Nothobranchius furzeri: one gene and its partners. The protein of the gene in region 3 purifies or fractionates together with the protein of the main gene of each other region. This does not show direct contact. Links are inferred from orthologs where the notes say so. Each region holds a gene or a part of one and is shown on either strand. Other genes may lie near its edges. The genes, in order: ncbp2, srsf3b and eif4a3.

Region 1 (4,112 bases), on a different chromosome or scaffold from region 3:
GCAGGCTGCGGGAAGAGAGGAGACTTGAGTAGAAGGACTTTAGTACAGACACGTTGGGACCGGATCGGGAGTTCTGGTTCTACGAAAAGATGGATGAACAACTTGAGGTGAGTTTGGGAGTCAGAGACACTAATCAGAGGCTGGCTTCCAGATAATGGCGGGCGGGGATCTTGTGTTGGACATGACGAGGAATGGACAAATTTGATGTCTTTTGATTTAGTTGTTTTTAATTCAAACTAACAAGTAGAGCAACGGTGTAGCTATTCTTTTCTATTTCTTAGTTGAATTAGCAGACTTCATGCTTCCAGGGCACACTGCTGCCCTCTGCTGGTTCTTTCAGGTTACAGTCATAGTCCAAACGGTAACGTGGAGCTCGTATGTCCCTAAACAGCTACTGTATTTTAAGATGGTGGATGACCATGGAGCCTCGACCACAGATTATGTATATAAAATGTATAACTATATAAGTTTGCAGTTTGTGAACTGCAAACACAGGATTTGATAGTAAACTGGTAAAAAATATCACACACTGGGCCTTTAAGCAAGTTCACATTATGAACCAAAATGACCGTAAACCTCACCTGTCCTCCAGATTTGCCACGCCCGTACTGCCTGCCCTCCTTGAAGCCTGCGTCCCAGTCTGTCCTGATGATCCGGTCATCCAGCCGGGTACCGTTAACGAAGCGCATGGCGTTCTCTGCGTCTCCTCGTGTGTAGTATCTGGTACAGGCGCAGCTAAGGTCCACACTCTGTTCATTTTCACATCAATGCTACCCTTTTAATACACGACCAGTCAAGACAGAAACACTGTTGACATTTAAACGGTTTGTTTTCTTGTGCATCAATTGGCTTTACTAGATCAGGTGACGATAGAGCAGCAGTACCTCAGGAGGTAGAGTGGGTTGTCTAGTAATTGGAAGGTTGTAGGTTTGATCCCGGCTCCAGCCAGAGAATGCTGCTGTTGTGTCCTTGGGCGAAACTTTTAATCTGCCTTGTCTGCTGGTGGTGGTCAGTAGGACCGGTTGTGCCAGTCTATGCACCCAGGGCAGCTGTGGCAACATTGTAGCTCATCATCACCAGCGTGTGAATGTGTGGGTGGGTGACTAATTGTGTTGTAAAGCACCTTGGGGGGCTGTAGAACCTTAAGAAGATGCTATACAGATACAGGCCATTTACCAATAGTTTAAAAGGATACTCAACAAAACAGAATCCGCAGGCAGTCTTCTTGATTTTATCCAGGCCGATGATGATACGCTTCACGTCTCCACATTTAGCAAACAACTCGTGCACCTGTTCATATTAGCAGTGATTCGAAATATGCCTTCAATCTAGTATAAACCAGCCACAACCGTCTAGTTTTTATAAGCCAACATTCATCAGATCTCAGTAGTAGCTACATCGATCTTGAACATCGGATTATTTAGCTGGTTATAACCACGTTTAGAAGTTCTGAAAGGTTTTCATGGAATAATGTAAGAAGTAAAGCAGTCCTCAGGAAGCCGAAGCTAGCTTTATTTAAAGGTCTTACCTGCTCTTCCGTTGTGTAAAAGGAGAGGTTCCCAACATACAGAGTGTTACTGTGCTTTAGCAGCTTCTCCTGTTCATAACGATTACCCTAAAAACAAACATGACATAAAACTACTCTTAGAGCAGGAGAAAAACACATTTACATACAAAAGTCGAATTCATTCACCTTCTCCCTTACCTTAAAGTGTTGATCTCTATATTGACTAATCTCAGTGTAAGAATCGCTGGTTAAAGCGTTTAGTTTAGAAGACATTTTGGATAAATGACTACTTAGGCAGAATGCTAACGACGCGAGTTTGGATGATGTACTTCCGGGTATTTTGTCCGTCCACTAAATACATCCGGGAGGAAACACGGAGGATCGCTAAATTAGATCATTTTGCGTTTGCTTACAATTTTTTTTTAAGTTTTCGCCTTCATCCGAGCTTTGTAGTTGTTTGTGTGTGTGTTTCTTCTTAGTGTATTAGTGGGAAAAACGCAGAATGCTTTCAAAACTGGAAGTGTTAATCATTTATCAAGAATCAAAAAAGCAGTGAATGGACATAATCTAAATCAAGTCAAATCAATATTTGGTGTGACCATCTTTTGCCTTTAGAACAGCATCAGTTCTAGGTGCACACACACATTTGTTGAAGGAACTGGGCTGGTTCTAAACATCTTGGAGAACTAACCACAGATCATCGGTGGATATGGACTTCTTCACATCCTTCTGTCTCTTCCTGTAATCCTAGACACACGATTGATGTTGAGATCAGGCTCTGTGGGACCAGACCATCACTTTCAGGATTTCTTGTATTTTGGTGCACTTGGACTGCACGTACCTTTTGACCCTAAGGTGGTAGAGAACAAGAGAACCAAGCTCCTGTGGGACTTCCAGACCCAGACTGACAAAATGGTGATGGTGAACCAACCGGACATTGTGGTGGTGGACAAACCACAGAGATCAGCCGTTGTGGTTGATGTGGCGATACCAAGTCATGCAAATCCGGGAAAAGGAGCACGAGAAACTAGAAAAGTACCAGGGCCTCAAAGAAGAACTTAAGCTGGAGAGTGAAGACATCGGTGGTGCCCATGGTCATCAGGGCAATAACCCCCAAACTGCAGGAGTGGCTAAAGCAGATCCAAGGAAAACAATCAGACCTCTCAGTCCAGAAAAGTGCAGTTCTAGGAACAGCTAATATACTGCAGAACCCTCAAGATCCCAAGCCTCTGGTAGAGGACCCAAGGTTGGAAGGATGAGACCACCCACGGAGGGTGAGATGGGGATTTTTATATCAGCATCAGAAGTGTTTTAATGCCATATATGTGCAAGAAATCTCATTAGCAAATTACTGATTTTATATATATATATATATATATATATTCTTTTTCTTCCAACATCAACACCTTCTGCAGTTTTTTTTAAATATTTTTATTTGTACATCTTAAATTCGATTTAAACATTTGCATCTTTATGCTTCTTTTTTTTTATAAACCACGTCCTGTCTGGCTGTAAAGCAATCAGAATTTATGTCTGAACGCTGAAGACGAACCTTACAGTTTTACTCTGTCGGCTAATTTTTGTTTTCGGGCGTTTTACTTGGACCTGAAAGGACGTTTAATTGCTTCTGTTTGAAATATAAATAAAACTGCCTTGTCTAAATGAGATGGTGTAATGGATTAACTTCTAACTAAACCTAATCATTCCTTCATAAACATATGTTTAGGAAAGCAAATACCCAAGGGTATTGAGTCAGTGTCGTCTTCCTCCGCTTATCCGGGTCCGGGTCGCGGGGGCAGCATCCCATCTAGGGAGCTCCAGACCGTCCTCTCCCCGGCCACCTCCACCAGCTCCTCCGGCAGGACCCCAAGGCGTTCCCGGACCAGATTGGAGATGTAACCTCTCCAACGTGTCCTGGGTCGACCCGGGGGCCTCCTGCTGGCAGGACATGCCCGAAACACCTCCCCAGGGAGGCGTCCAGGAGGCATCCTGACCAGATGCCCAAACCACCTCAACTGACTCCTTTCGATCCGGAGGAGCAGCGGTTCTACTCCGAGTCCCTCCCGAATCTCCGAGCTCCTCACCCTATCTCTAAGGCTGAGCCCGGCCACCCTACGGAGGAAACTCATTTCGGCCGCTTGTATCCGCGATCTCGTTCTTTCGGTCATTACCCAAAGCTCATGACCATAGGTGAGGATTGGGACGTAGATCGACCGGTAAATCGAGAGCCTGGCTTTCTGGCTCAGCTCCCTCTTCACCACGACAGATCGGCTCAGCGTCATCACTGCAGACGCCGAACCAATCCGCCTGTCGATCTCCCGATCCCTCCTACCCTCACTCGTGAACAAGACCCCGAGATACTTAAACTCCTCCACTTGAGGTAGGACCTCTCCCCCGACCCGGAGTTGGCAAGCCACCCTTTTCCGGTCGAGAACCATGGTCTCAGATTTGGAGGTGCTGATCCTCATCCCAGCCGCTTCACACTCAGCCGTGAACCTACCCAGCAAGAGCTGAAGGTCAGAGCTGGATGAAGCTAGGACAGTCAGTGAGTCAGTGTACTTTTCTATATAATTACGAAGATGTGGTGCCATTGGCTACTGTCTGG
Region 2 (4,430 bases), on a different chromosome or scaffold from region 3:
AATGTATCAGAAAATAGCCACTGGCAGTAAACCTAGCACATAAAGATGGCAGGTGTCAAGTAATCTCCTCTCACCTATCCCACAGTACAATGAGTAACTTTTGTAATTGTAATAAGTACTGTCTAATGAATCCCATTAATAATTTAAGAGGGTTTGGGCTCTGAGAAGAGCAAACACTGTACTGTGGACTGGCCCGTGTGTGAAAAATAAGAACGTACAGGGGCCACCATCTGTATGAAACTGGTTCACTTCAAAAGAAATACCTAAACAAAAATGGAGGCTAGTAAAGATGTATATGTCACAGGAAATAAATTGAGAAAAAAACCAGGTTAAAATGTCGCCGCCAACACCACAATCATAGACTGAGTCATAGAAAGGCTTGAGTTTTGGATGGTGTGTGTATCAAGTAAAAGAACATTAGCTATCATATCAAAACCTCTGGAAACATGACGTTCCAGATATTTGATATAAAATCATTCCTGTTTGAAAAATAGTGGATAATAAAACGACAAACCAATAAATGAGATAAAGAAATAACCTTTTCAAACCAGCTGTTTCTTCAGTGTTAAAACTGTAATCTGCAGTGTACTGAATGAAGCAGGAAAACTTACTAGTATTTTTGGATTTCAACAAGCTAGATATGACGAAAGGGAGGCAGACTGTCGGCCGGGTAGGTAGAATTGGCTGAATGGGACTGGCCGGATGCTGCAAGGTGATTAGATGGCAGGCAGATGGGGGCTGGTTGTGGCTTTATTCCTGCTTTAATTGGTAAGCCGAAGGCTGCTGCCGGTAGGTTGTAGACTTTTGGGAACATAATACGCTGATTGGTCGGGAATGTGATGTGGGCCGCTGCCGTTTGGTTAAAGGTTGAAGGAGAAGGAGGTTGAGAACGGCATGCTGAGGAACCAATGGGCTGGTGCAACCTGACGACTGGCCATGCCTGGGTCATGTGACAGCACAAGCCAAGCTGATTGGGGCCCGATGGTCAGCAGTCACATGATGCTGAAAGAAGACTAGTTGACTGACTCAGAGGGTGGTGAGAAGAGGCATGGTGGTGGCTCTGCAACGGGTTTCATTCTTATTAATATAGATAAAAAGTATAAAGCATCCTCAAACAAAAAAAAGGAATTTTTCACAACACATTTGGCACTTTCATCCACCAAAATCTTTAAACAAGTCATATTTTTATGAATAAAGCCCTTTCTTTTCTGCCTAAACCTGATTCACAGCCCTATTTTGCCACCTTAAGTCTTAACATTTTAAGCACACAACAGTACACACTTCAAAGAAGTATTTATGTCTGAAGCAAAAGTCACATTTTGCGTGACACTTAAGCAGCTTTCAACATAGAGGCTACATTGTCAAAAACAATGTCCTGTCTAAAAGGCATAATTCTGTAATTGGATCAAATACCTGTTTGGCTGGTTGTACTAAATGACTAATGCCAATGAGGATGAAACTGCAAGGCTTTGATAGACCAACAGTCACCAATGTTATCAGCAGGAAAGAGATGGATGAGTAAATCAGCAAGAATGTTAAAAATACAATTTATCTCTATTGTCTGTTATCAAATACACTTAGGTCACCTTCGTCGGGGAGGCGGGCTACGACGTCGATAGTCATCTCGGTCTCGAATACGCCTGCCCCACGAAGGGGGAGCTCCACGGCTACGGTTACGTTTTTCTCCATTGGACAGCTCCACTCGAACTCGGCAACCACAAAGTGACCTGGTGGCCAATCACAAAGGGCAGAGGTCGTTAGCTCCTGCAGAACTAATTCAGATGCCCTCTGCGTTTACAGCAAAATATACATCTACACTCACCTTCCATCAAGCTCTCGAACTGCATCAGTTGCATCTCGAGGGTCTTCAAACTCCACAAAGGCAAAACCTGGGGGGTTCCTGGCCACCCAGACACTGCGGAGGGGGCCGTAGTAGCCAAAAGCTCTCTCTAGCTCCGTCTTGTTTCCATTGTTGCCCAAATTTCCAACGTAGACTTTACAGTCTAGGGGACAGTCTCGATGCATGACTGGAGCTGAGATCAACAGCAAAGAGAAAAATGGGAAGCAGTTAGATCCGTTAGGCGAAAACCGCATTGTTTCTCTTCCTGTTGCACAAATTAGGAATGATATGTTAGATAGTTTTAAATGAAGAAAATCATACTAGGATGTTTTAAATGAAGAAAATCGTACTAGGATGGTAAAAATATAGCCCATGTAAACACAGTAATGTGATAAAAGACAGGCCTTTAATCTAGATGCATGTACAAAAGTGTTCTGTGACCCGATAAAACATTTTAATATCTTATTAGAAATAAATAAATTCAACCCCAGGCTGAACAAGAATACATGACCTAGTTTCCGTTAGCGATAAGTGCTAACATTAGCAAGCACGGAAACCAAATCATGAATTAGGCGTTACCAATGAAACCAAACTCGCTTTAGTTTCCAATGAACCGAAACAAACAAATCAACATATACAAACATTTAGGAAAAAACTCGGCAGAGTAAATGTCGGCGCTAATAGCTGTAAAAATAAGATGGCTGCCGTCTTTCCGCGGCCTACTCTCGGCTAGAGGCGCTCTAAATCAACCCGAACAATGAAACCATGTGCACGTAGTTAAAAAAACACGCGCCCCGAAATTTGTTTCTTCTAAGTAAGCTCCATATCATAAACAATGAATGTATTAAAACAAGCAGTACCGTTTTTTGATTGAAGTTACAGCTCTGAGCAAAAACGCTTCTCCCACACGTTAGAGCTCCTCGGTTGGTCGAGGGAAAATGGAGTGACGGAACAGACGCTGGTCTGCGGATATATTCACCCGGAAGTTGCAGGGAGCGGGCAAGGCGGGATGTTTCCTGCTCTAAAGGTTTGGCTCCTACTCTAAATACCTTTTTTGAATACCTTTCATCATTTCAGTCATCGAGATGACTCGATAATACACGTTGGGCATTTTACTGACTCTTGAAAGATTTGTTTCAAACGCCAAATGAGGTGAGCTACAATACCATATATGGCCACATGAGGAAATTAGTGACGCTGTTTTCTAAACGTTTTAGAAAGAACTCAACCTAAATTCGATTATCATTAATAAAGTTAATATTTACAGTTCGTTATAAATCAAAACAACATCATATTACAGAAACTGCAACTTAGCAATAAGTGTGAATTAGATATAGACATTAAATACCAATGTGAAAAGAAGATATGATTAACCAAATACCACCAAATAAAAATTATGGCCCCTCATTTTTTTAAATTTAGAATCTGAAAATCCTCAAGATATTATTATTATTACTGTTATTATTATTGCTTTAACGTTTAAAAGTTCAAAGTTATGCCGCACTATTAAACTATTCTGTAAAAGTAGCATTATAAATATTAACTGTATACTGAAAATTACCGGAAGCCAGTGTAAAGTGGTTTGGTGTGATATTATCACTACAAATGTATTACTTCACTGACAGATAACAGATCTTCTGAGCACAAGTCACCCATGTCCCAAAGTCACGATATGTAAAGATTTATGAGCATGTCAATGTTCTTGGAAAAATAATAACAGCATTTTAACCAGAAAAGCACATTTTAGAATTTAGAAAAACAAATGAGATAGACATCTTTTCCCAACGAAGTCAGTCTATTTTTACCTAAACAGCATAAAGCACAGTTTGCTTATCTTAGAAAAGGCACTGAAGCAGTAGAAAAAGGTTTAACCACTGGATCAGCCTGTTTCAAGTCCTATTCTTTCAACTATGGGCACAAGTGACAGACAGTGATGACTGATGCCCTTTCAATGATAAACATTGTCACCTGGTATCTTTAATAAAACAGTCTTCTAAGCATTGTGAACATTGGGCAACATTCCAAAGTAAATGTTCTAATTTTCTTTTGGAATGTGCTGCAGGCCTGCATGACAGGTTTCATTATTATTTTTAATGTAAGTAAACAACATGGAGTAGATCTGCTGCTCCTCCACATCGAGTGGAGTCAGTTGATGCGGCCCTGGAAGCCTCCCTGGTGAGGTTTTCCGGGCACATCCAACCGAGAGAAAACCTAAAGGGAGGCCTGGGACACGTTGGAGGGATTATGCCTCTCACCTGGCCAGGGAATGCATTTGGGTTCCTCCGGAAGAGCTGCTCAAGTGGCTGGGGAGAGGGAAGTCTTAAGAATTACATTTTTTTAAGAATTCTGACTTTAAATCTCAGCAAAAAAAAAAAAAAAAAAAAAAAAACCAGTCAAAATTATGAGCAAAAAGTCAGAATACTCATTTTCTTTTCAGTGGCCTTGATCCTCTTCTGTGGTAACACTTCTCAAGACTGAATTTTGACTAAAAATTATGAAGATTCCAGATGAACACCATCACAAATACCAGTTTGACTGCAACATATGTGAAATGTTGTGATAGCTGCAATAAACCTTTTTATTTCAAAAT
Region 3 (3,648 bases):
CCTGACTGACGCACCTCAGAGTGTGAGACTGAACGTTACAGTAACAGCGGACTGCCTTCGTGTATTCACCTGTACTTTTGCTATCATTTACTTCTTCTTCCTTTTCTCCAAGTGAATTCTCCCACTGTGGGATTAATTAGGTCGATTCTATTCTATGTCCTGGTCCTGTCATTCAGAGTGTCTCAGACATGGACAAGAGACAGAGGACAGAGACGATGTGGGTGAATCTGTGGAAGGGTGAGGCATCTGATCTTAGATGTTAACAGAACAAAGATGATTGTGGATCTTAGGAGAAGAAGGAACACGCAAGACTCGCTCCATCTGACACAGCACCAAGACCGCCCCTTTAACGGTTTTGCGTTACAGTCTTTCAGCTAGATGTGTGCGATGCCGTCGTCGTACTTTTACTAGAACGTCAGCTTTTGACACAGTCCCAACATATTTTTGGACCGGTAACAACTAACCCTAACCCGGCCCTTCAATGGCTGCAGTCCTACTTTGACGTTAAGTGGTGTCTGGATAGGGAAGACCACCTCTGCCTGGGAGAGACTCTGATGATGGGTTCCACAGGGCTCCATGCTGGGCCCCCTCTTTTTGCAGTCTATTTGCTGCCAGTGAGGGGCTCCCTGTCAGCATAATGCGATGGTTCCAGATCTACCCACCTCTCTGTCTGGGGACAGGTGGCTCCGTCTCTCCACTCTAGACTCTTAGGAGGAAGTTAAGTTATGGATGGCCTACAGTTATTTGCATTTGAATATGAACAGAACGGAGGTAATGATTCTGACCACCAATAGAGCCTTCAGGTTGACCTTGCTTCTCTGTCCTCACACGATAGGAAGGTAGTCACGAACTTAAAATTTGATGCTTCTACCAGATGCTGGTCTGAGCCTGGGTGCGGTGGCACGGCTCCAGGTGGCCCAGAACTGGACACTCTGGTTCTTGACAGGTACAAGGAAGAGGGATCATATCGCTCCCGTGTTGGATTTGCTTCACTGGTTCTCGGTTGTGTACCTGGCTAAACTTAAGGTCCTGCTCCATGTCTATAGGGCCCTGCAGGGCGGTGCACCCCGTACCTCACTGCTTTGCTGCACATGGGTTACCTGAACTGAATTTATACACCACCACCCTCACCCTCAGATAAATGGATGGAAACAAGATGGAAATTATATCGGTTGTTAATATCGGCCCAGTTTTGTTTATCGGACTGACACCTATTGATGCGGATATATTGTGCACCCCTAATTTAAGTGGCATCTTCCTAAAGGGTCCCCTCCTGTTGATGGCATCATAGACAGGTCACTGCCACAGCCCTGCTGTCCTCTAGGGGGCGTCTCCTTTCCGCTATTTTAATACACATTTTTTCTTTAGTTGTGTGAATGCTCGTTAGTTTCAGTTAGTTTGCTTTTTTTGTAAAATCTCCTTTATATTTTCAATTCAGTTCATCAAAATGTTTTACCTTTTAGTCTACGTTAACAATACCAGCCTTGATAAGCTCCTCCCACATTAGCGTCTCATACCTGTGGATGTAGAGTTCTCTGTTGTTGGGCAGATCATAGTTGATGATGAGGGACACCTGTGGGACATCCAGACCTCGAGCCCAGACATCGGTGGAGATGAGGACACGACTGTAGGAGAGAGATTTGGTAGAACGTATGTGATGCTGTGGTTTTGAGTGCGTGTCCACCATGTCCGCTGAGAATCTAATACCTTGCTCCAGATCTGAACTCCTTCATGATGGACTCTCGTTCTTTCTGCGGCATGTCTCCGTGCATGGAGGACACAGTGAAGTTGGCCTCCCTCATCTTTTCTGTCAGCCAGTCCACCTGAAACCACACCCACAGGTTGGAGGTTAAACTATTTCTCTGCCTTTGGTTCAGCAGGGCTCAGATCAGCTGATCCTCGGGTCTGGCCGCCGCGCGCACCGGCAGCACGAAGAGAGAGCGGCGCTGCAGACTTTAATCATCAACAGGAAAAAACAGCTTCAACTGTGCAGGAAAAGTTGTTTAAACCAGAGGCCGACTGGTATATCAAATCAAATCAACTTTATTTATAAAGCGCTTTCACACGCCCAAAACGGACAAACAAAGCGCTGTACACCAATAAGAATCACAACAATAAAACAGACATATAACCATTTAAAATACAATAAGAAATCCCGAGTACAAGTTCGCAATCCATATCAGTCCTTTCCCAGAATCAGATCCAGACACATTCAAAGTGATGCTGCCCACCCAATCCCAACTTCAGTGTCCAAACGCTAGGGCTGTAGCGAAGCCTAGATGACGTTGACGGCTCGATTCTAAAAATTTGTCGACGTCAGATCCGGAAGTCGACGCACCGCGCCCACTTGTTGCATCCCCAGGAGTTTGTAAATAGAGGAGGAATCTGTCTGTTTTTCCTCTAGTTCGCCCTCTTCTCCGCCTTCACTAACATCTCCGCCAAATACCGAAGACCCGGAACAATGTCCGTCCACTACTAGATTCCTTTCCTGTTTTGCCCGCCTTCGTCTCCCGGCATCGGACAACTTCCGGGGTCAGATGTGCTGCTCGGTCTCTACCGCAGATGTAGGACATCACCGGGAGCGTTTCTCCCTTCATTAAGGAGCTTCTTTCAGACATGAGGAGAGCTGTTTTGGTGGTAGCAGTCTCTCCTCCGTGCTGGTCTGTTTGCTGCTGGGTGTTTTTGGTTTGTTTAAACTTGGTAACTTGAACTTAACGTTGGTAAAGCTACTGTTAACATTTTCGCTAACAGCTTCTTGCGTTTGGATAAGCCGTTACGTTTTGGTTTAGAGTTCATCTTTTTGTGGCGTAGATCTCCCTTTTATTACATTTAGAGTGTTGTGGGTTTTCGGTTTAGTGTAAAATATCACCTGAGTTTGGTTTAACCCGTAAGACCACTCGCCTCACGCACATAAGTGACCAAAACAAAGCAGCATGGAGACACTCCATCTTCTACCACCTCTCAGGCAGCAGCCTGCACTCCCAAGTTCTACACGTCACCAGAACATAACCAACCAACACAATAAAAGCAGTGTTATACAAAATGGAAGGCCTGTAGTGTTTATTCTCTTACAGTAACAATTTATCAATTTTTTTGAGGAATTTATTTGAGATTTTCTGGTTTTTGTTAATTGTGCAATAGAAAAATAATCATTAGATTAATTTTCTAAATAGTCATTAGAATAGTCGACTATTCGATAAAATAATCGTCAGAATAATCGTTTTAAAAATAATCGTTTACCCCCAGCCCTACCAAACGCCAACGAGAACAGATGCGTTTGTAGTCGGCTTTTAAAGGTCTCCAGTGATTTGGCCTGCTTTACGTCGGCTGGCAGCTCGTTCCACAGACTTGGTCCGAGCGCTGAAAAGGCACGACTCCCACGAGACTTCAGGCTGTACCTGGGCACGGTTAATAGTCTCTGGTCAGCTGACCTAGGGGAACGCACCGGGACATGTCGGTGGATGACGTCACAAAGGTGTTTAGGTGCCCCTGAGTTTAACGCCTTAAACACAAACAGGAAGACATTAAACCTGATGCGATAGGAGACAGGGAGCCGATGCAAGGCACGTGGGACTGGTGTAATATGTTCAGACCTCCTGGTAGATGTTAACAACCGAGCAGCCGAGTTCTGAGCCGCCTGGAGGCGTG

The links.
Region 1: the proteins of eif4a3 (region 3) and ncbp2 purify together in Homo sapiens (co-immunoprecipitation; 3 studies listed by BioGRID and IntAct, with this or other methods). This does not show direct contact. The link is inferred for Nothobranchius furzeri from reciprocal best matches to the Homo sapiens genes EIF4A3 and NCBP2.
Region 2: the proteins of eif4a3 (region 3) and srsf3b purify together in Homo sapiens (affinity purification with mass spectrometry; 3 studies listed by BioGRID and IntAct, with this or other methods). This does not show direct contact. The link is inferred for Nothobranchius furzeri from reciprocal best matches to the Homo sapiens genes EIF4A3 and SRSF3.

Annotation. Positions count from the first base shown.
Region 1 is NC_091748.1:71,743,301-71,747,412, reverse strand, and holds the start of ncbp2 (nuclear cap-binding protein subunit 2), read right to left. Parts: upstream 2,809-4,112; 5' UTR 1,781-2,808; coding exon 1,706-1,780; intron 1,616-1,705; coding exon 1,529-1,615; intron 1,291-1,528; coding exon 1,196-1,290; intron 721-1,195; coding exon 582-720; intron 1-581. UniProt on the Homo sapiens protein: Component of the cap-binding complex (CBC), which binds co-transcriptionally to the 5' cap of pre-mRNAs and is involved in various processes such as pre-mRNA splicing, translation regulation, nonsense-mediated mRNA decay, RNA-mediated gene silencing (RNAi) by microRNAs (miRNAs) and mRNA export.
Region 2 is NC_091743.1:46,711,482-46,715,911, forward strand, and holds the start of srsf3b (serine/arginine-rich splicing factor 3b), read right to left. Parts: upstream 2,837-4,430; 5' UTR 2,701-2,836; intron 2,034-2,700; 5' UTR 2,026-2,033; coding exon 1,823-2,025; intron 1,728-1,822; coding exon 1,587-1,727; intron 1-1,586. UniProt on the Homo sapiens protein: Splicing factor, which binds the consensus motif 5'-C[ACU][AU]C[ACU][AC]C-3' within pre-mRNA and promotes specific exons inclusion during alternative splicing.
Region 3 is NC_091746.1:29,292,033-29,295,680, forward strand, and holds part of eif4a3 (eukaryotic initiation factor 4A-III), read right to left. Parts: intron 1,824-3,648; coding exon 1,708-1,823; intron 1,626-1,707; coding exon 1,518-1,625; intron 1-1,517. UniProt on the Homo sapiens protein: ATP-dependent RNA helicase. Involved in pre-mRNA splicing as component of the spliceosome. Core component of the splicing-dependent multiprotein exon junction complex (EJC) deposited at splice junctions on mRNAs.